Linked DNA regions of Mus musculus. The protein of the gene in region 3 interacts with the protein of the main gene of each other region in a biochemical or structural test. Links are inferred from orthologs where the notes say so. Each region holds a gene or a part of one and is shown on either strand. Other genes may lie near its edges.

What was found.
Region 1: the proteins of Top1 (region 3) and Nkx3-1 form a complex in vitro, tested with the Homo sapiens proteins (2 studies listed by BioGRID and IntAct). The link is inferred for Mus musculus from reciprocal best matches to the Homo sapiens genes TOP1 and NKX3-1.
Region 2: of the proteins of Top1 (region 3) and Topors, one has a biochemical effect on the other in vitro, tested with the Homo sapiens proteins (2 studies listed by BioGRID). The link is inferred for Mus musculus from reciprocal best matches to the Homo sapiens genes TOP1 and TOPORS.

Annotation. Positions count from the first base shown.
Region 1 is NC_000080.6:69,187,847-69,195,850, forward strand, and holds Nkx3-1 (homeobox protein Nkx-3.1), read left to right. Parts: upstream 1-2,845; 5' UTR 2,846-2,858; coding exon 2,859-3,147; intron 3,148-3,977; coding exon 3,978-4,402; 3' UTR 4,403-6,812; downstream 6,813-8,004.
Region 2 is NC_000070.6:40,264,630-40,272,509, forward strand, and holds the start of Topors (E3 ubiquitin-protein ligase Topors), read right to left. Parts: upstream 5,213-7,880; 5' UTR 5,091-5,212; coding exon of another isoform or gene 5,048-5,090; coding exon 5,045-5,047; exon of another isoform or gene 4,950-5,044; intron 3,873-4,949; coding exon 3,675-3,872; intron 1-3,674. Other genes in the region: Smim27 (small integral membrane protein 27), read left to right, coding at 5,046-5,090, 5,409-5,513; Ndufb6 (NADH dehydrogenase [ubiquinone] 1 beta subcomplex subunit 6), read right to left, coding at 6,150-6,218. UniProt on the Homo sapiens protein: Functions as an E3 ubiquitin-protein ligase and as an E3 SUMO1-protein ligase. Probable tumor suppressor involved in cell growth, cell proliferation and apoptosis that regulates p53/TP53 stability through ubiquitin-dependent degradation.
Region 3 is NC_000068.7:160,709,705-160,716,911, reverse strand, and holds part of Top1 (DNA topoisomerase 1), read right to left. Parts: intron 4,268-7,207; coding exon 4,124-4,267; intron 2,832-4,123; coding exon 2,646-2,831; intron 1,867-2,645; coding exon 1,798-1,866; intron 1,200-1,797; coding exon 1,085-1,199; intron 1-1,084. UniProt on the Homo sapiens protein: Releases the supercoiling and torsional tension of DNA introduced during the DNA replication and transcription by transiently cleaving and rejoining one strand of the DNA duplex.

The DNA.
Region 1 (8,004 bases), on a different chromosome or scaffold from region 3:
AACTAGAAAAGGGATAATATTTGAAATGTTAAGTAAAGAAAGTATCTAATAAAAAATAAATACATTTAAAAAAAGGAGTATCTCAATGTGGCTTTGATTTGCATTTCTTCTCTTTTTAAAAAATGCTATTTACTTTTAAAAATATGTGTGTGTTTGCATATCTGTGCCTGCAGAGGTCAGAGGTCAGGCATCAGATGCCCTGAGGCTGGTACTTCAGGCAGTTGTAATGCTTGATCCTGGGAATTGAGCTCTAGTTCCACTGAGCTATCCCTCAAGCCCCTTGATTTGCATTTCTTTCACGAGCCTGATTTTTTTTTAAAAAGAAATTCTCCTGTGTGCCTGTTTGCATCTACATCTTTGAGCCCTCTGGGATTTATTTTGAGACTAGGACTGTCTCATCAATGAAGACCTGTGCCCGGCCAAAATCAACATCATTAACAGTCAAGTGCAAACTCAAAAAACTAAAGCCAAACTGAAATAGCACTGTACCAATGTTAGTGGCTGAAATAAAGAGAATGGCCAGGGCTAATAAGGTTTCAGATATCTGACACTCGTTGCCTGTGGAAACAGCAGTACAGTCACACAGAAGAGCGGCTAGGCCTGTCACTCTGCATCTCTTGTCTCAGCTATCTTTTTTTTTTAATTCCTGACCATTGTGACCAAATATCCAACAGAATTAATTTAGGGAAGGAAGGGTTTACCTTGGCCGGTGGTTTGAGGGTATAGTCTGCCATCTTGAGAGGAGCACAGGACTGTATAGTCACGTCTCAGTCAGTCGTATAGTCACGTCTCAGTCAGTCGTTTCAGTCAGCCAAGAAACATGGGGATACACCAGTACTCAGTTTGCTTTCTCCCCCTTGAAATGAAACTACCCATTTAAGGCAGATGCCTGCCCCCGCCTGCCCCAGTGAACCTTCTCTGGAAACACTCACAGGCACACCCACAGGTAAGCCTCACTAATCCTCTGACCAAGTTAGTTATCCAAAGGAACTACCCATCACCCGTGGTCTGGCATAGCCACTGCACCACTGGGTAGAGAAAGGAGACTTGCATTAAATCTGTTATTCCCACCAAGAACCAGCCACAGACTGGTTAAGTAAAATGATGTTTGCTTTAGTTTATGAGTCTAGAGCTTCAAGTCCAAAATTAGGGGGCCTAATGGGGGGTGCAGTGCAACATGAGAGGAGCACAGGCTGGTGGGAAAATCCATACACCAGGGCCAGGAGAGGGGGGAAAATTGGGGCGCTACAATCTCTATGTCCTCAACAATTTGAGGACCTCTCATTAGGCTTCAGCCCTTATAGGTCCAAAACTTCTCCAAACTACCTCAGCAGGGAACGGCATTTATGTGTGGGCCTTGGAGGAAGACTCCCCACACACACTATATGCATACATACATACATACATACATACATACATACATACTACAATGAGGGACATTGGAGTTGCTATTTTTGCAATTCCCAATGAACCTGTAACTATATCAAAAATGTATATTTAAATTTTAAAGGAAAATAAGTCCAGGTAACATGCAGAAGAGAGCTTTTCTGAAGGCCTTCCGGTTATCCATCCCAGTTTCCCTCCGAAGTTGCTGTATTCTCAAGGGCCTGCCCCCCTTTCTTTCTCCCCAGAAATACAAGGTTCCCTGCAGAGCAGATTCCAGTTGAGTCCTGGTGCCTTAGACCACAACAGACTCTAATTGCATCCATTAATTAAAAAAAAAAAATCAGCGTAGGCTTTCCTCGGTTTCCACCAAATGTTGTATTCTAGCACATTCCTTTGATCAGATAGATCGTATTTAGCAATCCAAAGCATTGTTCTGAACCATGTGATATTTAAGTGACAGACATGGGGAGCCTGGGCTAGAGTGTTCATTTCTTTTATTAGTTTGGTTTGTGCATGTGTGCTGTCAGTTGTTTAGTTGTTAGTTAGTTAGTTAGTTAGTTAGTTAGTTAGTTTAAGACCGGGCCTCATTATGTAGACCTGGCTGTCCAAGAAATCCCTATATAGACCAGGCTGGCCTCAAACTCACAGAAATCCACCTACTTCTGCCCCTCTTCACTGGGATTAAAGAAATGTCACCCACACACAGCTTGAGTGTTTATTTATCTTTTCTTTCTTTCTTTCCTTCTCTCTCTCTCTCTCTCTCTCTCTCTCTCTCTCTCTCTCTCTCTCTCTCTCTCTTTCTTTCGTTCTTTCAACAGGGTTTCTCTGTGTAGCCCTGGCTGTCCTGGAACTCACTCTGTAGACCAGGCTGACTCAGAAATCCACCTGCCTCTGCCTCCCAAGTGCTGGGATTAAAGGCATGCGCCACCACTGCCCAGCGAGTGTTTATTTCTTAAGAATACTCTTTCCTGGTGTTACACTACCTGGTCAACTCAGTAAACGAGACACTGTCATACTACTTGGACCTTCCCTAATAGACTTCTGCTGGTTGTCTAGATGTGTCCAGCTGGGAGTCCAGCGTGGGACCATAATGAGCATGATTGTCAGACCTAGGATCAACTTAGACTCGGTAGATCTGGCTTTGTTATCAGTCTCTCTTACTATCTGAACACAATTAGGGTAGGTGGAAGCGACCTGCCTGCTCAGTTCTGATTCCAGTAAGAATTTGGCGTTTGTGGCTTCTCTGGCAAAGGGCTTGAGAGGGAAACCAGGAAAGGTTAAGGGCTCATCAGGGAAGGGCTCTGGAGCCTAATCCGCCCAGGACTCGCCCCTTGAGGGTCACCTGGAGCCCGCGGCAGCCAATCGGGGAGCAGCCGTGTCCCCGCGGCCAATGGGCAGGCGGCGCGGCGCTCAGCATGGCTATAAGTGCGCGCGGCCCGGTGATAGCAAAAGCGGCGCGCAGCGGAGGAGGGATGCTTAGGGTAGCGGAGCCCCGAGAGCCACGGGTGGAGGCGGGTGGCCGCAGTCCTTGGGCAGCGCCACCCACGCAGTCCAAGCGGCTCACCTCCTTCCTCATCCAGGACATCCTGCGGGACCGCGCGGAGCGGCACGGGGGACACTCAGGCAATCCGCAGCACTCGCCGGACCCTAGGAGGGACTCCGCTCCAGAGCCCGACAAAGCAGGGGGTCGCGGCGTGGCTCCGGAGGACCCACCAAGTATCCGGCATAGCCCCGCGGAGACACCGACTGAACCCGAGTCTGGTAAGCGGAGTAGACCAAGCGAGCACCATGCACAGGAAAGGACCGCTCTTGGGCTAATGGCCCCGAGCTCTGGATGCAGGAATCCTGAGGTTGGGGGTGGGGGCATGGCCACAGAAAGGACCTCGCTGTCCGCCCCACCGAGCCACCTTGAGCATCAACCCTGAGAGCAACTAATAACTTTGCCATCGACTTGACTCTTTTCCAGCGGCTGCAGACATTTACCACTGGCTACTAGAACTAACGATAACCATTAATATTCATAAATCAAGCCCACTCTTAAGTTCCCTTCGTCTCCATTCCACGAGCCATAAAATTATGGATGTTCTTTTAAGTCTTTAGAAATAGAATCGCGTCCAATTTTATCCTCCGGCCCCAACCACTTTTCATGCTGGTGACTAAGCCACAGTTACAGGAAGAGGACTAGGGCAGGAGATGAACTGGTTACCATCCCAGGCCACCTGGCTCATCTCCACAAATCTCAGTCACCCACTTCAATGTCCCTACGATGCCTCCGTCTTCCCTGTTGGCACCTTACCCACCTCTCTTTGCAACACACATCCAGGATCCACATTTCACTGATGTAAAACAACAAGGCAGAAAGATCAACTGTAAACCGCTAAGACCTGAATGTAGTTCACACTGATTATTAGAAACAAATACATAGTATAAAAAAAGCCTGCTCACTTCTTCAGGGTAGTTTCTTAGTCTTGCAAACAAAGTGAAAGTATCCAGATGACAGTGGGCTTTTTGTTCACTAGCAGAAAACAAAAAGGTGGTTTGAATTCTGAGCTAACATGTAACTTTTCCTCTCTCCTTCTGTTCTTCTCCAGATGCACATTTTGAGACTTATCTTTTGGACTGTGAACATAATCCAGGGGACTTAGCAAGTGCCCCCCAGGTCACCAAGCAGCCACAGAAGCGCTCCCGGGCCGCCTTCTCTCACACTCAGGTGATTGAGTTGGAGAGGAAGTTCAGCCATCAGAAGTACCTGTCTGCCCCTGAGAGGGCTCACCTGGCCAAGAACCTCAAACTCACCGAAACCCAAGTCAAAATATGGTTCCAGAACAGACGCTATAAGACCAAGCGAAAGCAGCTGTCGGAAGACCTGGGAGTCTTGGAGAAGAACTCACCATTGTCTTTGCCAGCCCTGAAAGATGACAGCCTGCCCAGTACCTCCTTGGTCTCCGTGTATACTAGCTATCCCTACTACCCCTACCTGTACTGTCTGGGCAGCTGGCATCCATCTTTCTGGTAGCAACAGTTCTGCTGATAACTGCATATATCAGAAACTGTCTTCCCTGGGGGTCTCTGGGAAAAAGCCACAGTGGCTGATGTCAAGGAGTCGGAAGCAAGAAATGTACAGATGCAAACTGTTGGGGGTTCCCAGGGAACACTCCAATTCTTCTCTGGTGGGCAGGTGAAAGATCTGGGGCAGTGACTATTTGAAGATGTAGTCCCAGTTCCAAGTGTCCTGTAGGTGACTGCTGCCCGCTCCCCTGTTTAGAGAGAGCCAGGCAAGTTTGAGTCTTGTTTCCAGAACTTAGAATGGCTACAGATGCAATGGCTATATCGTTCCTAGGAATTCTGTTGTGGCAACTCCATCCTCTCCCATGACTGAGTATCATGGAAGGGCCAAGCAAGGGGAGGGATGGCCCCTTAGATGAGGATTTCCTCTTGAGTTAAACTTGGGTCTCCTGTTGGCCTTGGACTCTGGCCAGAGTTTCTCTCTGCCCTTGTAAAAATGAGGGTAAACGGAAGATTTGAAGAATGGGGGTGGGAGGGGGTGACCCTTAGTGATTGAGGCAGGTTGGCATAGAACGTGAAGGGGGTGGAAGGTGGAATTTTCAACTTACCCTTTTCACAGTGATGTGCCAGTCCAAGGATTTACAGGGCAGCCTGAGTGTGGCAGGGTACACACGCGGAGGGGGTTAAGACAAGCTGTGTAAACAGTTTGCCTGCAGGGGTGGGCTGCAAAACAGACTTCCTCTCCAAGACATGGGCCTATGGGGTTTCCACACGCCAGGTGAGCGGCTTCCATCAGGACTTTATATTAGCAGGGAAGAAAAGGACTCTCCTGCCCTTCCTGCTTAGACTCAGGAGGGCCTGCAGCTTCCCTGGCCTGAAAATTCACACTTTGTGATGACAGAGGTGCCATTAGTTTTAAACAAAGGACCTTCCAACCCTCCTTTTTATTTCTTGTTCTTTCCTACAGGACCTCTCCGTTCATGCTTTTCATCTGTGCCTGTCTTATTTCGTGTAAGATTTGCTCCCACCTCCTCCCAAGGTTTACCTTTCTTGGTTTAACAACTTAACTAGCTACAGACAGATTATGACATACTTTTAAAAGAAAAAAATGAGCAACTCATCTCTTCCCTTTAAAAATATGACATACTTTAGAGAGAGAAAAAAAACCTAGCAACTCCTCTCTCTCTTTCCTTTAAAAATACTCAGCATTAAATCCCAAGCCCTATTTAAAGACATGAGAGCTGAAGATGACAGGTTCTTTCGCAGGGCTGTGTGCTAGCTCTGTGTTACAGTTCAAAGGCTGATGCCCATTGGGGTCCTGGGGATCCCTGTAGGCAGAGGTGGTTTAGGGGTGCTTGTTTTTCATGTGTAAGGAAGAACAGGACAAAAGGAAGGGCTGGCACTGCTGAGGGATCTGGGGGAGATGGAGGGGTCCTGCTGTCAGCCCAAGCTAACCAGCAAGGAGAGGTAAACTGTCTTCAAAATACAACCTCACCGAGGCTTCCATCCACAGATGTGTGTGTGTGTGTGTGCGCGCGCGCATGCACGCGCAAATGCTTTGGAGAACTATGCTTAGGAACTACCCTAAAGTGGTAGGAGTGAAAAAGAGAATTGGTTGACCTTCCCTTTTCCATCCTGATATCTCAGGTAACCTGCCGAATGGGAGATAAAGGAGGTAGAGCACACTTATAACAAATGAGACTTTCTGGGGCCAGGAAATCCCTTTATCCCACCACTCAGTGCTATACAGTGAGAAATCTTTTAATTTCCTCCTTTTAAATGGGCCAATTTACTGTTGGTGGCAAAACTGCCAAAGGAAGTTGATAGAAAGCTGGCGGCTTGCACCCTGTTCTTTGACAGCCCGGGTCCCCATGTTAAAGTATTGTTCCGTGTCCCTTGTTGCTGACCACTGTGGTAGCGTTAGACCATACCAAAGCCGGAGGAGTCCAGTTCTCTTCTTTCTATCCGTCTTTTGGCTCTGAGTTCCCTATCAGTACTTTCTCTCCTCTCACTCTGACTAGAATCTTTTTCAGCGTGCACTTTCACTACGTTTGAACTATTATAGTGTGCAGTGTGTGGCAAAGTCAGAAAGGGAAAGGCTTGTGTTTAAAATTATGTTGGGGAAGTCTGACTCAATTTTGCTTTCTCCATACTGGAACTACCCATTCACCCACACCTGAACTGGTAGAAACGTGGCCTGTTGTCTCCAGCCTGTGAATGGGAAAGGTATCGCTGTGGGTATCACCTGGGTGACATATCTCTGTCCTGTTTCGTCAATCAGTTAGCAAACCCCGGCTCTAACAGAAAAGTCTGTCACTTGGCATTTAGTATAGTACTCCACTCAAAACTTTATTTTTCTACGGGTTTTTTTTTTTTTTGCAACCTATGAGTGTTTTAAAATAAAGCCTCTATGTCTTTATTAGACACCTGCGTGTGGTTTTCAGATTCTTGCAAATGGGTTTTCTTTTTAGCTTGCATTTTTCACGGTGGCCATGTTCCCACAGGACACTTGGCTGGCCTGACAAGTTACAGACACAAATCAATCAAAGCAACAATTCAGCAAGTAGCCAAGAGGGTTTCTTTTCGCAGTGACCTCTCCTGCCATTCTGGTAAATCAAGGAGAGGGAAAAAAACAGGTCTGCCTGTATTAAACTTCCACCCACAGCAGTGGTGTTGCTGTCCCTGTCATCCCAGCACTCAGAAGGCGGAGGCAGGAGGATGAGAAGTTCAAAGCCATATTCTTTGGCTACACAGTGAGTTTCAGACCAACCTGACAGCATGAGAGCCTGTCTCAAAGTTATAACTCATCACCTGCACCCGTGTTGGAATACCTCGCGTGTAACTGAAGACTGTTCACGTATGTAGTGACCCTGAGGGAACAGGATGATCACAGCAGTTTTCAAAACGTCCCTTTTCTTATAATCCCTGGCTCCCTCACTCCTAAACGTGTCACCTGTGTCCAGAGTCCCATTAGCTTCATGTAAGCGATGTCCCTGACATGGGATCGCTAGTCTACAGCCTGCCCACCCACCCTGAACGTGCCCAAGCTCATCTGAAATGGGACCACAAGTGTTGAGGATAAGTCGTATTACAGAACTAATACACATAAACTGCACACCTCATCCCCAGCATTTAAGCCTTCCTAAAACCACACAAAGTAAGTGCCTCCTGGGTCTGATGGCCTGTGAGAGCTGGTGGTCTCTGCCCCTCCTTCAAGGAAATAAAAGCTTAAAGGGGAAGGTGCCTACTTCAGGCAATCCATACCATAATTTCAAAGTGTGCCCTAATCTTTTAAGTACATCGCACACACAGGTGGGGCTTCTTGTAGCAGGCAAGAAGCATGAGGTTTAATTTGCACAAATCTACAGCCACCCTCCTGTCCCAGGGAAGGGTATTAGCTCTCCAATTACAAAGCCTCTTGCTGCAAATTAACAGATGTCCTTTTTGAAAAAGTAAACCATTTAAAAGTAATCCAGGAAATTAAACAAAAGTCTCCTATCTTTAAAGAAAATCCCCTTTGCCTTTTTTTTTTTGTCCTGTTTCCAACATTTCCTAATATCTGATAATCTCACAGCCTTCTCTCCAGAAGTTAGTTCCTTTGGCATGCCACAT
Region 2 (7,880 bases), on a different chromosome or scaffold from region 3:
AGATCAGTAAATTTCAAGATAAAACATATTTTATCTTAATTTGTTTCTCTGGAAGGCAGAATTTTAGTGTTTACTGAACATTTCTAATTCACACGAAACTTACAGCTTAGACCTGGGGATGAGTATAGGAACTAAGTGGTAGCCCTGCCTGGACAGGCAAAGCAGCCCTGGTTTCTAGTCCTAGAACTTAAAAAAGAAAAATAAAGGGGGAAAACAATAATCATACACTATATATCTAAACAAAACTCTGAAGTCACATTAGCCATGACCTCTGTGATGTAGTAACTGAAATGCCCACCACTGACAGATAAACACAATGTGGTTTAGTACTATATCAACATGGTCAAAACCCAGGCAGCGGAAGTCGTCTGCAGAAGGGGAGAACCTCCAGACGGCTTTGCAATGCTCCTCTCCACCTTGGCAAGAGGAGTGCAGACTCATTACTAGCCATCACATTCCACCTGTGAGAACGAGCACCCGTGATAGCCCAGCCAGAGATGGGACACCTGTACCAAACTTCCTCCCACAACACCCAGGGAAAATTAAGCAAGGGTGGGAAGACAAAGCCAGAGCCAGAGGTTCGAGAAGCTCAAGATATGCTGTGGCTGCTGCACGATACTCACAGCTGTGGTCACCTGTCTAAGTCCAAGCCAGTTAAAAATTACAGCATGGGGTGAGGGAGATGTTTTACAAAGGACCCAGGTCAGTACCCCGGAGGTGGCAACCACAATCAAACACCAACGTGAGTGTGAGTTCAACTACAATGATGACGACGACCAAAGAACTCCCAAAGCCCCACTCTTAACTGAAGGTCTTTAGGTAGCTGATGGTTGCTGTGGGAAGTCACTTTCTTTGAGAAGTGGCTACTGGTAGACCGCCCAAGCCCCTCTGGATAACCCTACAGCTATATGGATATAAGCAGCACTAACAGGACCCAGTGGCTTATATAAAAAACATGTGAACACAAAATTACTTAGTGATAAAAGTAATAAAGTACTGAATGCTACAACATAACATCTAATAAATGACACACACACACACACACACACACTGTATGGTACCATTCATACACATGACCAAAGTAGTTCAATAAGGAGGAAAAGATGCCTTGAGCTGATGAGATTTTCTGAGAAGACCAAACTGTTCCGTAATTACACTTGGGTGATAACTGCATGCCTCGGTGAATACACTAACAACTATAGTGGGGAGGTAGGGAACAGGCAGACTGGGCGGCGATGTACTTGCAGAAGACGTCCTGACTTTAGCAGCAAAGATGGACCCATTTAAATTTTGTATTTTGTATTCTAGACGGAAGCCTTGTAAACGTTCCTCTACCCTACTAACCTAAGGATCAGGGCTACAAACCAATACCTCCAGAGCAGATTAATCAGCTCTTCATAAAAAGCCAAGTCCAAAGGGAAATCTATTATTACTTTAGGATACACTCAACTTTTCCTTTTTTGATCTTCCAATCTGCTGATTCTAACAAAGATTAAAATCCCCTTTATACCATAATTTTGGGGAAATTTCTGGTAACAGGGTCAACATATCTAGGGAAAATAAATGGAGATCATGAACTTCAGAATTTTCTCCCCCCCACCCCCTTCCAAGTCAAGGCTTTCTACAAAAGTCAGCTTCTAAAGCACTCCTTAGATTATCACTGGACACAGAACTCAATCATCTGACTGCACTTTAATGCAGCACTACTGAAAATAATACTGAGAATTGCCACTTTTGGGGGGTGGGGTCAAGAATAAAGTCTCCCCGTAGCCTGGCTGGCCTGCACCTCATGGATCTGCCTGCCCCCACCTCCTGTGTGCTAGGATTAAAGGCATGGACACCACATCCAACTAGAATCAATACTTCTTACTTTGGATCTCCACAAAGATCAAGCTGGGACAAACTTGAAAGTTACTTCTCAAATATTCTCAACTCTAAAATCGGCGTAGTTTGAAAATGCTTGACCCAGGGTACTACTAGGAGGGGTTACACCCTTGTTGGAGGAAACTTGTTACTGTCGGGGTAGGCTATGATAACCTCCTCCTAGCCACCTGGACCAGTCTACTTCTGGCTTCCTTTGGATGAAGATGTACAACTCTCAGCTCTGCCTGCATCATGCCTGCCTAGACGATAATGGACTGAACCTCTGAACCTATAAGCCAGCTCCCATTAAATGTTGTCCTTATTAAGAGTTGCCGTGGTCATGGTGTCTCTTCACAGCAGTAAAACCTTAACTAAGACAGAATACCAATAGTCTTTTGAAAAGGGGGAAAAAAAAGTTGTGTGAAGGGATACAATTTGAATAAGCAAACACTTGGTGCAGGGTTTGATGATGAGAGTTCAACATAGTTGCTTAAGTTATGGAAAAGTTTGATATTGGTAGTGATCATCACCCACACCTCTGACAGTTTCCAAAGATGATAACAATTATATTTAACATATCTAAGCAAAGCAGCTAACAACATCCACAAATAGATAAAACAGAATGACTGGTAAAAAGCAATCTGCATTCTACTTGTAAATCTGAATAGTTTAAAATTTGTTAAGTCCTAAATGACCAAATTTAATTTCTTCTTTTTTTAGTGAGGCTAGACAGAGTTTCTCTGTGGAGCCCTGGCTGTCCTGGAACTCACTCTGTACACTAAGCTGGCCTTGAACTCAGAGCTCTGCCTGCCTCTGCCTCTGCTGGGATTAAAGGTATGCACCACCACTGTCCAGATTGAATTTCAATTCTGGTAATAATAAAATTTAATTGGGACCAGGCACCCTGGAATATTCCTGCATTCCCAGAAGACTGGAATATGAAGGCAAGACGGTGAGAAGACCAAGGTCATCCTTTGCAAAGTAGGGAACTCCAGACCACTCTTGGCTACAAAAGTCCCTGCCCCAAAATAAAAGGGGTGAGGGTTGCTTGGAAGCTAGCCCCGTGAAAGCCTCTCCTTCTAGATACGCATTGAGTGTGACTGACTGAAGAGCCCTGCACTTTGCATTCCATCTATTTCCAAACCCTCAAATCCTCTCAAACGAAACACTCTACCCTGTACTAGCTCAACTCTTAAGACACATACGTTTTTTCCTTCTTTCTCCACTTTAACATAGGACGGTGCCCAGTAGAACTGCTGCTTCCCAGTTCCGGTCTTAATCTCCGTGCCTTCAATCCCGTAACTGCCCCTCTCCAGTCTACCAATCAGAATCAGCAGCCCATGAGCAAAGGGCACTAACTAGATGTGTAATAAAGTCACAAGGCATACAAGCCCTGCCCACAATGTGTAGCACTGCACAACTCCTCTAGCCTTAACAGCTTCCTTAGTCCAAAACTACTGTCTCGGATGGAAAGACAACCACACCATGCATGTTACATAAACACGACCAACTGAAATGCTGATCCCATTTCACAGACAGGGTCCAGGGCTGGGGACCTACCAAGGTCACACTTCCTAACAGTGGCAACTGTTTTGCGCCGACACACAGCTCTATCCCGTATTCAGTTGCGCTCCAGCCCTTCAGGCAGTGCAGGGAGACACTCCCCTCGCTTGCCCACCGGTGCCGATCCACAGGTGCCCTGCAGCGTGGCGACCCCAGCCCTTGGGAGCTCCGGGTGGAAGAAGGCCCAGACCACAGGGCTGCTCCAGGGCCTACTGGAACCCCTCACCCATTGTTCCCGGCCGACTCACCTCCGAGGACGCGGTGGCAGGAACCGCTGGGCCGTTGGAAGCCAGCTCCCGCCGGCTCAGTAAGCTCGGCCGGTGGCGGCAGGATCCGCGAAGGCGTACCCGGCGGCTTCGGCGCCTCCCCTCCTCGGCAGGCACCAGAGGGGGCGCTTCACCCTCCTCGCGAGACAGCGGAGACCCCGGTGGCGGCGGCTGCGACCCCTATGACGTAGAACGTTCATCACCCACAGGCAGTTTGGAGGCGGAGAGAAGGCGAGACCAACCCCCCGAGCCCGCGCAGCAAAACACCGCTCCTCCACCCCCTTCCCCCGAGCTCTGGGCGCATGCGCCAAACCGCTGCCGCACGCAGGAGGCGGGACGTTACGGCACAGACCCCGGACCCTGCCCTGCCCCCACCGCGGGGGGGCACAGCACAAACTCCACAATCACAACCAAATATGCAGAAAGGCTGCCTCAGTATCAGTGGAACCTCACAAACTTCAACAAGTTGTTAGGATTCTCTATGGTGCCACGGGAACTGGACTGAGCTCCCAGAGCACCCTGGTCCTTCCGTCTATTTCAGCTGGGTTGACCATCAGGCATTTCTTTTACCCCGCCATAACTCCCTGCGGCCCGCTTCCCTCTTTCCACTCTCGGAAATCTACACTAAAAATGTATCTGACACATCTGCGCCCAAAGCCGAGCGGCCCAGCCTCTGCCGGCCAGGCTTCCACTCTGCACACCACCAGCATCCTGATAGTTGGCCTGCCAAGCTGCCTTTCTCGGGACTTAGTATTTCAAACTTGCTGCAGTCCCAAGCATTCGACAAACTGCCCGTCAACACTTGTTGGCCGGCAGATCCACCATGCGGGCTACCTGTACAACATATTTGAAAAGATTTCCAGCCATCAGCGATAATATTCTGTTTGTTCTTGGTGAACGGCTCAACTAACAGTTCCCAACGATGTTTTTGTTACGTAAAAGATGTTTAAGTCAAGCATAAACATATGAAGGTCTATCCGCATTTGGTGGAAACCGATGTGGGTGTGGGACGGCAACTTTGATTCTTCCACCGTGGACTATTTTCCAATAAACTTTTATATGCACACGATGGCACACTATCTTGTATTAATACCGCACTGCAAATGCAGGATAAAGCAGTTAAGGAATTCCTATGTGAGCGCAAAAAAGGCGCGATCTTCACATTTTCTCTTTTATTCCCTCTGCTGCCTGAAAGGCGGGCTAGGCCCGGATCACGTGATGTGTTCCAACTCCGGGCGGAAGCCCGCGGGAGCGCGCAGAGTCCCGCTGAAAAATGGCTGCTGCATCGGGGTGCAATGCGCCCGCGAGCAGGCTGTAGGGCCCTTGCCACCCCGTCCCCGCTGCTCCCTTACCATGAGGCCGATGAGTCGCCGAAGCCTGGACTGGACTTACTCCCTGGTAGGTACCGAGCAGAGCGGAGCTCCAGAGCGCACCATGGCAGGGCCCGCGAGCCGAAGGTAGACTGTTGGCTCGCAGCTTGGAACTCCAGAACCCATTCCTAAATTGAGCGTTCACGCCCTGCCCTCGGCTCCGCCTCTTCCTGGAGGACACGCTTTTCCGCCTCTGACGTCAGGGGTTGCAGGCCTGCTTGCCTCTGGGCTGCACTGTGTTAGAGGCATGTGATGCCTTTCCACCTGTAGCTGCTTGCTCGGGCTACACAGGGAAAGGACCCGGCACATTGATTTCTTCTTTTTGCTTTTCCTCCCCTCCTTTTAGTTGCTCCTTGCAATCGTCTTGCTCTCTTGGGGATTCGTCATCTATGCATCGACTGTAGCTGCACGACGACAACTACAGAAGGAGTTTCCAGACAAGTTCTTCTGAACGAACTTTTGTAATTCTTAGCAAACACTTCTTTTCTTCAGATGGCACCTATGTAGACTCAAAGTAAAATTCACAATACAAATTTGCGTGTGGCCTTTTGTGATAAGCGTTAACATGCCAATTTTTCAAAATGATCGGACAACACCCCCCCCCCCCTTTTTTTTTTTTCGAGACAGGGTTTCTCTGTATAGCCCTGGCTGTCCTGGAACTCACTTTGTAGACCAGGCTGACCTTGAACTCAGAAATCCGCCTGCCTCTGCCTCCCGAGTGCTGGGAGTAAAGGCGTGCGCCCCCACGCCCGGCTCTATTTTGTATCAGGTCATAGCTTTTCATTCTAGTGCTCAAACACTTCACATCCTCATGTCAAATCAGTATGTAAACAACACTGTGACTAAAATGTGTTTTGCATCCTGTTTATCAAAATGGACAGAAAAAAGTAGCTAATAGCTCTGTTTAGTATTTGTCTTTTTACTGTTAGTCTCAAATCATAGAACCTTTGGACAGTAACACGGACAGTGATAACACTCTGAGAATAAGCTTTATTAATTACTTTTCCAGGAAACAGATTCAGTAAATACAGCACTTTAGGAACATACTTGTGCTGTTACACAAGTCTGTTAAGTTTTTAAGGACTCTTCAATGATGTTGATCAGGAAAATCTCTCATTGGTGGAATTACTTCTCCAGTCTCCAGAATTGTATCACCCTAGGGAAAACAGGAAGTGTTTAATAGAGATTTTTCACCAAATATACATTTCATTGTAAATATTCCAACATTTGCTCAACACAATAAATGACTATAAAGATACTTTCTTTACATTTGTTAAATTTAAGCCAGGTCTGATGGTGAATTAATCCCAGTGCTCTAGAGGTAGAGGCAGGCAGATCTCTAGTTTGAAGCTAGCTGGTCTACATAGCAAGTTTCAGGGCAGACAAGACTACATAGATCGACCCTGTCTTAAAACAAACAAAAAAACAACAAAAAGAATCCCCAAAAAAGGCCATTAAAATTATTTTGCATTTTACCTAAAACATTTCAATTTAGGTGCTAATTTTTTACTTGTACTGATTTGTAAATGAAGCTAAAAAAGATTAATCAAACTATTACATGAGGACTTAAAAATTAAAAGGCATACTAAAGTGCATATTTAGACGGTAGACTGTAGTTCTGAAGCATGGATATACTTGTGAGACTATCTATCTCCACAATCAAGGTAATGACATCCTTCTGATTACAAGATTTAGTATTTTATTCCTTCAATCTATTGTCTCAACATCCACCTCCAAGTTTCAAAAATACTGTGCATAGATGGTCACTCTATGCTAGTCCATGTTCAGGCACTGCATGAAAAAGCTAGTTATGCTCTATTATTCATTTTAATAAGGGCTGGGACAAACAGACTGGGAGGACAGCCTGACTCATACTAGTCTATCCTATCAGGAAGAAGGAAACTTGTTCTGTTAAGCCAGAGACTTGGAACCCTGTCATGGCCTGGTCTATTCTAGAGGACACAGACGGTCTTCAGTTTCTCAAAAGAGAGACTCTGGGGCTGGTGAGATGGCTCAGTGGGTAAGAGCACCCGACTGCTCTCCCGAAGGTCAGGAGTTCAAATCCCAGCAACCACATGGTGGCTCACAACCATCTGTAACAAGATCTGACGCCCTCTTCTGGAGTGTCTGAAGACAGCTACAGTGTACTTACATATAATAAATAAATAAATCTAAAAAAAAAAAAAAGAGAGAGACTCTGGAACTGGTCAACAACACAGACACAGAACAGGACAGCTGTAGCAAAAGAGGACATTCAGAAAATAAAGAAATGCTACGAAACCACTGACATGGCTTTGTAAACAGAGCCTGTCTTCTCCTTTGACCATGAATGGCATCATAAACATATAATTAAATAATCAGGCAAGCAAAGAATAAATAAATATTAGTCAGCTAACAAAACCATCAAGTTAATGCCCAACTTTGAGGCTGCCTGGGGTCTGACATACACTGATTACAGGACATTTCTTGTTAGTTTGTAAAGCAGAGTTCCAGGGTGGACTGTTAGCCAAATTTGATGGTTCTCCCTAAAAGTCTCCTTTTGCGGCTCTTAACAGATAACTGTAACATATGCTACTTAATTTAAGTTTCAATTTACCATTATGGAGGCTCATTCATTACTCACATAGTAGCAGTCATTTATTGCGTTGAACAACTTGAGTACTAGTATTAAAGGCATGAGGGAATTTTTTAAATTACTTTTAGAGCTTACATCTTTGTAACATAAAATTGAAATTGACACAAATGTGTCTTAACTTCACAGATTGAGAACTATAAGCATAAAGCCAAAGAAGTTAGAATCTGGGAATGACAGAACCTC
Region 3 (7,207 bases):
CTCTTCTGGTATGTCTGAAGACAGTGACAGTGTACTCACATAAAACAAGTAAATCTTTAAACAAACAAACAAACCAAAACAAAAAACAAAAACCCAAAGCCCCCAGACCTTTATACTGCTTTTCTTATTCCCTGTCTCCCACTTACTAGGCAGATGTAGCAAATGCTGCAGCTGTGCTAGAAGAAATGACTACAGGAGAATGAGATGAAGGGATCCTAAGCTATACTGCAGGGGCTGCAGAGAAGGCTCAGTGGTTAAAAAATACTTGCTGCTCATGCAGAGAACCTGGGTTTGGTTTCATCTATTACTCTAGTTCTAGGGATCTGACTTTCTTTCTTTTTTGTGGAGGGGTAGGAGTGGGGATGGGGTGTTCTTTTAAGACAGGGTCCTTGAACTTGCTCTATAGACCAGGCTAGCTTCAAACTCAAGAGATTTGTTTGCCTCTGCTTCCAAGTGCTGGGCTGCCACCAACACATCCAGGCTTTTTAGCCACTGTTTAAACCAATCCTAATTACTGATCTCCAGCATACCATCTCTGGCTCGTCTAAGAGCATTTGATACATTTATAGAAGGCAGTGGAAATTCAAGTGGCAGGAGCAGAAGGGTTGCCTACAGCCTCAGCTGTGGGTAGGCTGAAGCAGAAGGTTCACTAGCTTGGATCACATGATGAATGTGCCCAGCCTTTAGCTACAGTGTGAGAGTTTGTTTTAAATGGAGAGGAAAAGAAGTTCTAAGGTCCCAGAGGTAATTATTACATACTATTATGAAGACCAAAAAGAAAAAAAGAAAAAGATTTACTACTACATTTTTCTGGTAACCATGACAACTCTATTCTCCCCAATTTAACACCACTGCCTATACCCTCTGAGCTTGTAAGTAACACAGATAAAACATAAAAATTTTTAGACCAGATGCAAAGCTCTTGTTAGTATTCTATGAGATTAATCTAGAGTTTGCAGCAGCAGTGGGAAGAAAGGCCTTGGTTTTGCTTAGACAGCAAAGCCTCTTCAAGAGGTTGGCGGGAAAGAATGAAGAGAAGGAAACTGGCACCATCCCAAGGACAACCATACAGAGTATTACTTACGGGCTGTGAGCTCTTTAAGCTGCTGCTGTAGTGTGATGGAGGCATTGTAGGTACGGAACACCTTGGCAGTCAAGCCCTCCATGAGATCCTGAAGATGTTTATTTAGAATACCAGTCTGCATTAAACACGACAACAAAGAGGATATTGGAACTGAGGTAAACACCAAATCACCCTTTCCCTTACAGTGAATACTAGGAGTCCTTGTGCCAGTGCTGCCACCATCCTGCCAGTTACTGTCCTGTCCTTCACAGAGGAAGTTAGCAAAGAGGGAAAATAATTCCAGAATACAGGAAGGATTGCATAGTGCCTTTCTATAAAGTACTTTAATCTTAAGTTCAAGACAACAAATTTTTTCTTTCTTATAAATATCTCTCCCAGTAAAGAAAGCAAGTGAAAGCCTTAGGTCTGTAGCAAAGGCAGCTGGGCGTCTCATGAAAGCATGAAAGGATGAAAGGAAGAGGGAAGATCCATGGAAAGCTCAGCTCCCTCTGCCTTGCAGCTTTGGTAGGAATCCACAGCACCACCCACAGGGTGGGAGGAGGGAGGGTCTGCTGCTGGTTACAGATGACTGAGTGCCCCAAGGGAGGAGGGATATGTAGAATGTCACTGGACAATCTAGACTGAATGGACAGTCCAAATACCCTTTGACAACTCTTGACCCCAGGAGCTTGAGATTGCCTTGGACTTTAGCCTAGTGTCCTGTGTTTACTCACATTAAGTCGATCAAAAAGATCGTCCTCAGGCTGCTTGTTCTCCATAAACAGTTGTAAGTTTTTAAAAACCTAAAACAAGTCCAATTATTATTTTAAAATTTTTTAGAAATAATTTCAAACTCACAATAACTTTCAAAAAAGAGAAAAGGTAGAAAGACAACCTATATATATTATACCCAAATTCTTGTTCTGCATGTGTAAATTTACATAAATACCTAAGTATCAGTTCTCAGCCATTTGTGGTATATATTGTAACTCAAATAGGATGTTTGTTAGCATCAAACATCCTGGCATCTACTTCCTAAGAACAAAAACACTCCCTTATAGCCAACCTATGCTTACCCTAGTTACTCGATTGAACTGGCACCCACTGTTATCGAATGGGCGAAAGTAGTAGGTACCTATGTCTATCTCATGGGTCTACAGAGATGAGCTCAGAGACTGAGAACTGAAAGATTACCATTTTATTCAGTTGGGGCTTGGACTGGGGCTAAGAAAAACCACAAGATAACAAGTGATCAGCAGATGCTGTGATGCTTAAATCACTAAAGCGGCTGTGTTCAATCTTAACATTGAGTTTGCTATAAAGGCTAACTCTCTGCAGACTCTGTTATAAACTGCTTCCAGAGATGGCCACAGGTTCCCAGCAATGTAGCAGAGGTTGCAGGGCAGGCATGAAATGAGGCACACCATATACCAAATATTATCTCTTTTCTTTCTTTGAGATCAATTTTACTAGAGCTCATCAAAATGCAGAACATGCAAAAGCCCTCAAAAAATATTTGCTGAATAAACAAACATGTAAAAAGAGCAAGCTAGAGAAAGAAGCACAGGCCACATGAACTTACTCGTTTCTCAACTGGGACTTTGTTATAGTATCTGATTGAGTCCTTCCCAGGAAAGTCAAATTCCACCACATACTCCTGACCATCCAATTCTGGGTGTAAATTGATGTGTTCCACTCTAAGTGAACAGCAGCCCACAGTGTCTGCCGTCTCTCCTTCTTCCTTCTCATTGCCTGCTCTCAGAGCAAGCTGTGCAAGAAAGGGAACAGAGTTGTTCAGAAAGAGATGAGTGAAGAAACATAGACCACATATAATCTCAATGACACTCTAAACCAGAAGCCCCCAATTTTGTAGATGGAATGAACATCAGTCTACATAACTTAGAAACTCAACTCATAAGAAAGTCACAGGGCTAGAGAGATGGCTCAGCTGTTAAGAGCCCAGCAACCACATGGTAACTTGCAACCATCTGTAATAAGATCTGACATCCTCTTCAGGTCTGAAGACAGCTACAGTGTACTTAAATATAGTAACAAATAAAAGAGTAAGAGAGAGAGAGAGAGAGAGAGAGAGACAGAGAGAGAAAGGGAGAGAAGGAGGAGGAGGAGGAGGAGGAGGGAGGGAGGGAGAGAGGGAGGTAAGAAGGGAAGGAGGGAAGGAAGGTAGGTAGGTAGGTAGGTAGGTAGGTAGGTCAGTCACAGAATACCCAGAGACCCAAGTTTCTCTACTCCATCCTTAGAGTAGAGATAGAAGAAGAAAAAAATTAAAACAAGGCAACAAATGAGACCATATTTTCATGAGAACAGTCAGATTAAAAACTTATCAATTTTGTGTGAATTCAGAATTTGGGCTAAAATTTAAGTGTAAAATGAAGAAAAAAATCTGAGCACTAAAAAAACTATCTTTCAAACTGCAATTATCATAAATCACACTTTTTTAAGAATTGTATAGGTTATAATTGTCATTTTCTAAAAGAATGAAATGAGAAATAACCACCAGAATTCAATGCTACTAGTTAACCAGTGGTTTGTGCAACTTTCGATTTAATTTCACATAAATAAAACTGTTATGTTGGATTTTGACATAAAGTAAGTACTTTTGCAGATTATGGTCAAAAATCTTGAGCATCACAGTTATTAAAAAAACAAACAGCCGGGCAGTGGTGGCACACGCCTTTAATCCCAGCACTTGGGAGGCAGAGGCAGGAAGATTTCTGAGTTTGAGCCCAGCCTCGTCTACAAAGTGAGTTCCAGGACAGCCAGGGCTACACAGAGAAACCTTGTCTCGAAAAACCAAAAACAAGCAAACAAACAAACTAACTAATAATGTTCAGTTTATGCAGATCCTCTTGTTATAGAGACTGCTCAATAGCCAACATACTGTACATGCCTCTTTCTTTGTATCCACATCTACTCTTCCTACTTAAGTAAATTTGGATTATAAGTCACACAGCAGATATACATTCCTGATCCCTATACTGTAGACATTCCCTATACCTGTAAACAGAACTGTCCAATGTGGATAAAGGAACATGTCCCCACCTTATCAATGAAGTACAGTGCTACAGCTCTCTGACGAACTTTCATCTCTTTGGACTTCCAGTCTTCCCGATACTGATTTCGGATCTTGTCCACACACTTCTTCAGACGCCGCGCAGTCTCATACTTCTGCCAGTCTTTCTCACCCTGCAGTGGAGCAACACATTGAATATTTAGAGCTCTGAACCCCAAAACAGGAACCTGATTTTAACCAAAGCTGGAAAAGCATAGAACTGAAGAGAAAGTCTGGGGCATGTAACATGACAAGAATACTTGCTATTCTACTGACTCCGTCCTGTATAATTGCTAAGAAAGCTTTCCTATCTAAAAAATGGTTCCCACTCTTGTGAGATCCACCAAGCATGCCCCCAAACTGACTTCTGTCAACATAAAGGATGTAAGCATCTCCATTGCTTCAGAAGCACCACAGCCTTGCTGTGGAATGCATGCTCCAGTTCTCTGCTAGCACTGAATTCCATTAAATTCAAGACAGCCATAGCGGTTTCAGGGACCTATCAAAGAAACAGAACCCAAGACAACAACATGTAATTACCAAGGAAGACAAAAGCTTCCATGAATAGGCGTAATTATTCACCATTTTCTCACTTCTGCATTTAAAATGGTCTCTGATTTGACTGAGAAAAAAAATGTTTCTGGGAACACCTTCCTTCTTTCTTTGGTTTTTCAAGACAGGGTTTCTCTATATAGCCCTAACTGTCCTAGAGCTAGCTCCATAGATTTAGCTTCCTTGAACTCAGAGATCTGCTGGCCTCTGCCTCCAAATGTTAGGATTAAAGGTGTACACCAACCACGACTACCTGGCTTCTTTAAAAACATAACAAAAGAGCTTTTGGCATAAAGTTTGAGATCTGATCCTAAAGCCCATGAAAATGTCACACGTGCTTGGTAATATAAACCTATCTGAGAACCTATAGCTGGGGAACTCACAGGTCTGATGGGTTAAGAAAAGCACTGATGAGACTTTGCTAAATGGACATGGCACCAGGCTGCTTTCTAAACACATATCTGTACACCCCCAGACTTGGTCCTCATCAGAAGAGTTGTGCAATGGATTTGGTTAATACCAGGGCTGCGACTGGTCAAATTACAGAGAACAGAATGTCTGTGAAATATTCAGGCATGAATTGAACCCCTACATCACACACTCTGACCTCAAAATTCAGGAAGCATCGGAAAAGGTGATGGAAAGACTTAAAGAGGTACAAACTTGACTGGGGCCAAGGTGTCTTCTAAACATGGTAGGGCCACACTGCACTCAGGAACTGCTCTGGTTGCTTGCACAGTATCAACATTCCATCATGAAATGGGGAGGGATACATAAACCCCAACTCCTAGCTGAGGAGCTATTGACATTTGATAGCTGCTAGTGTGTATTTGTAGTGGTCTCTTTTGAGGTGTGATACCTGGTAGCTTTCCCACACCCCATTGGACAGCCCCTATGTATGCATATATGGACACCACTATTTCAACTGAGTCACAGTTGAGAGAATGATGTGTGTAGGGAATCTGGTAGTAGTTGGGAAGTGTGGAGTTGTACATTATGTAAAATATATAAATACTAAATAAAAAATATTATAAAAAAAATAAAGACTGATATTAAACAACAAAAGATTTCTGTTACCACCCTGAGTAGAAAAGGACTTGAAAGCAAGGATCAATAATGTCAAGTGAGAAAGATCAGGAAAATTCCACAAGGCAGAATTTTACAAGGTGAAAATCCCCTAAGAATCTGGGGTTAGAGATGGCTTATCAATTGAGAGCCCATGCTGCTCTCTTCCAGAAGACTTGTGCTCAATACGCATATCAGAGGTGACCTGTGACTCCAGCTCCAGAGGAATCTAATGCCTCCCACACTGCAGGACTCAAACGCACATGCCCCTACACAGACATGAGATTTAAAGATCCTACAACAAAGAGGAGATGGTAGTGATTTCTTTTTGTATATTGTTTTCCACCTAAGACAAAAGGACCTAACCCATAGGACCACATGAAAGCATGGGGGTGCATGGAATAAAAAGGCTTACTTCCAGATCTTAACAAATGCTCAGAAAGTAATGCTTTTTTGGATGTGCTAGGGAGTCGTCAACATTTCCTCACAACTGAGTGTGTACTATTTGTATGGGCTTGTTTGGCTTTTAAACAAGGGGTTCAATAACTTTCAGGAAGCTGAAAATTTCTCTCTGATTTCTCTAAGTCCAACTTGACATTAAGAGAATAAATTAGAAAATGTACAATACAAGCTATCCTCCTGGTACAAAGCTACAAAGCAAGGTGTACCTCTACCACAATTTCTTACATAAACCACCACCAAGACACCTGAGAGACTCACTAAAATACACTATCTAGCCAGGAGTGGACTCTTTTCACCACTACAAAACACATAAGCATTGGTTGTGGTCAGGCAGACAAAGTTTGAGAAAGTCAAGTAAGTAATTTATAGAAGAAACCACTAAAGAGTGTTTCCTTGACATGATTGGCCTCCTGGAACAAATCAAAGTTTTCTCTAGAACACTAGGATGAGGATCAAGAAGAGGAGACATCCTGTGAAGGGCTAGCAGGCAAGGGCTAGTTCCCAAATACGCTTATCCTGGTGGCTTACAGCGCTGCTGATCAGAACCTATAAAATGATAATAGACTCAAAACCCTTTAGGACTGCTTCTAAAAAATACCCACCTAGGTCTTCCAGGGAGTCACATCAAAGCCATCATAAAAAGTACCTTCCTGACACTGGCAGAAATGTGCTCCCTCAAATTCTATTACTACATCAGCACATTACTAGTATGGAGTAGAAAATCAGTTTGGTAAAACAAAGGTAGATATTGTAGGAGTCTCTGACTCCTTTTCCTCTTTCCCTAGTTGGCAACTTCTCCATAATGGAGAAAAAACTAGTTAGTGATAGTTATAAACCAGTGGCCACCATACTTCTTTTAAATGTAGATACTTATCCACTCAATAATATAGGCAGAACAGGAAGTGAGTCATTTGCTTTTAACTCTTCACAGGACCTGTACTGAGGAAGATGCCATTTGCTAATATACTTTGAGTTTGTGAGTAAGACAAACTCAA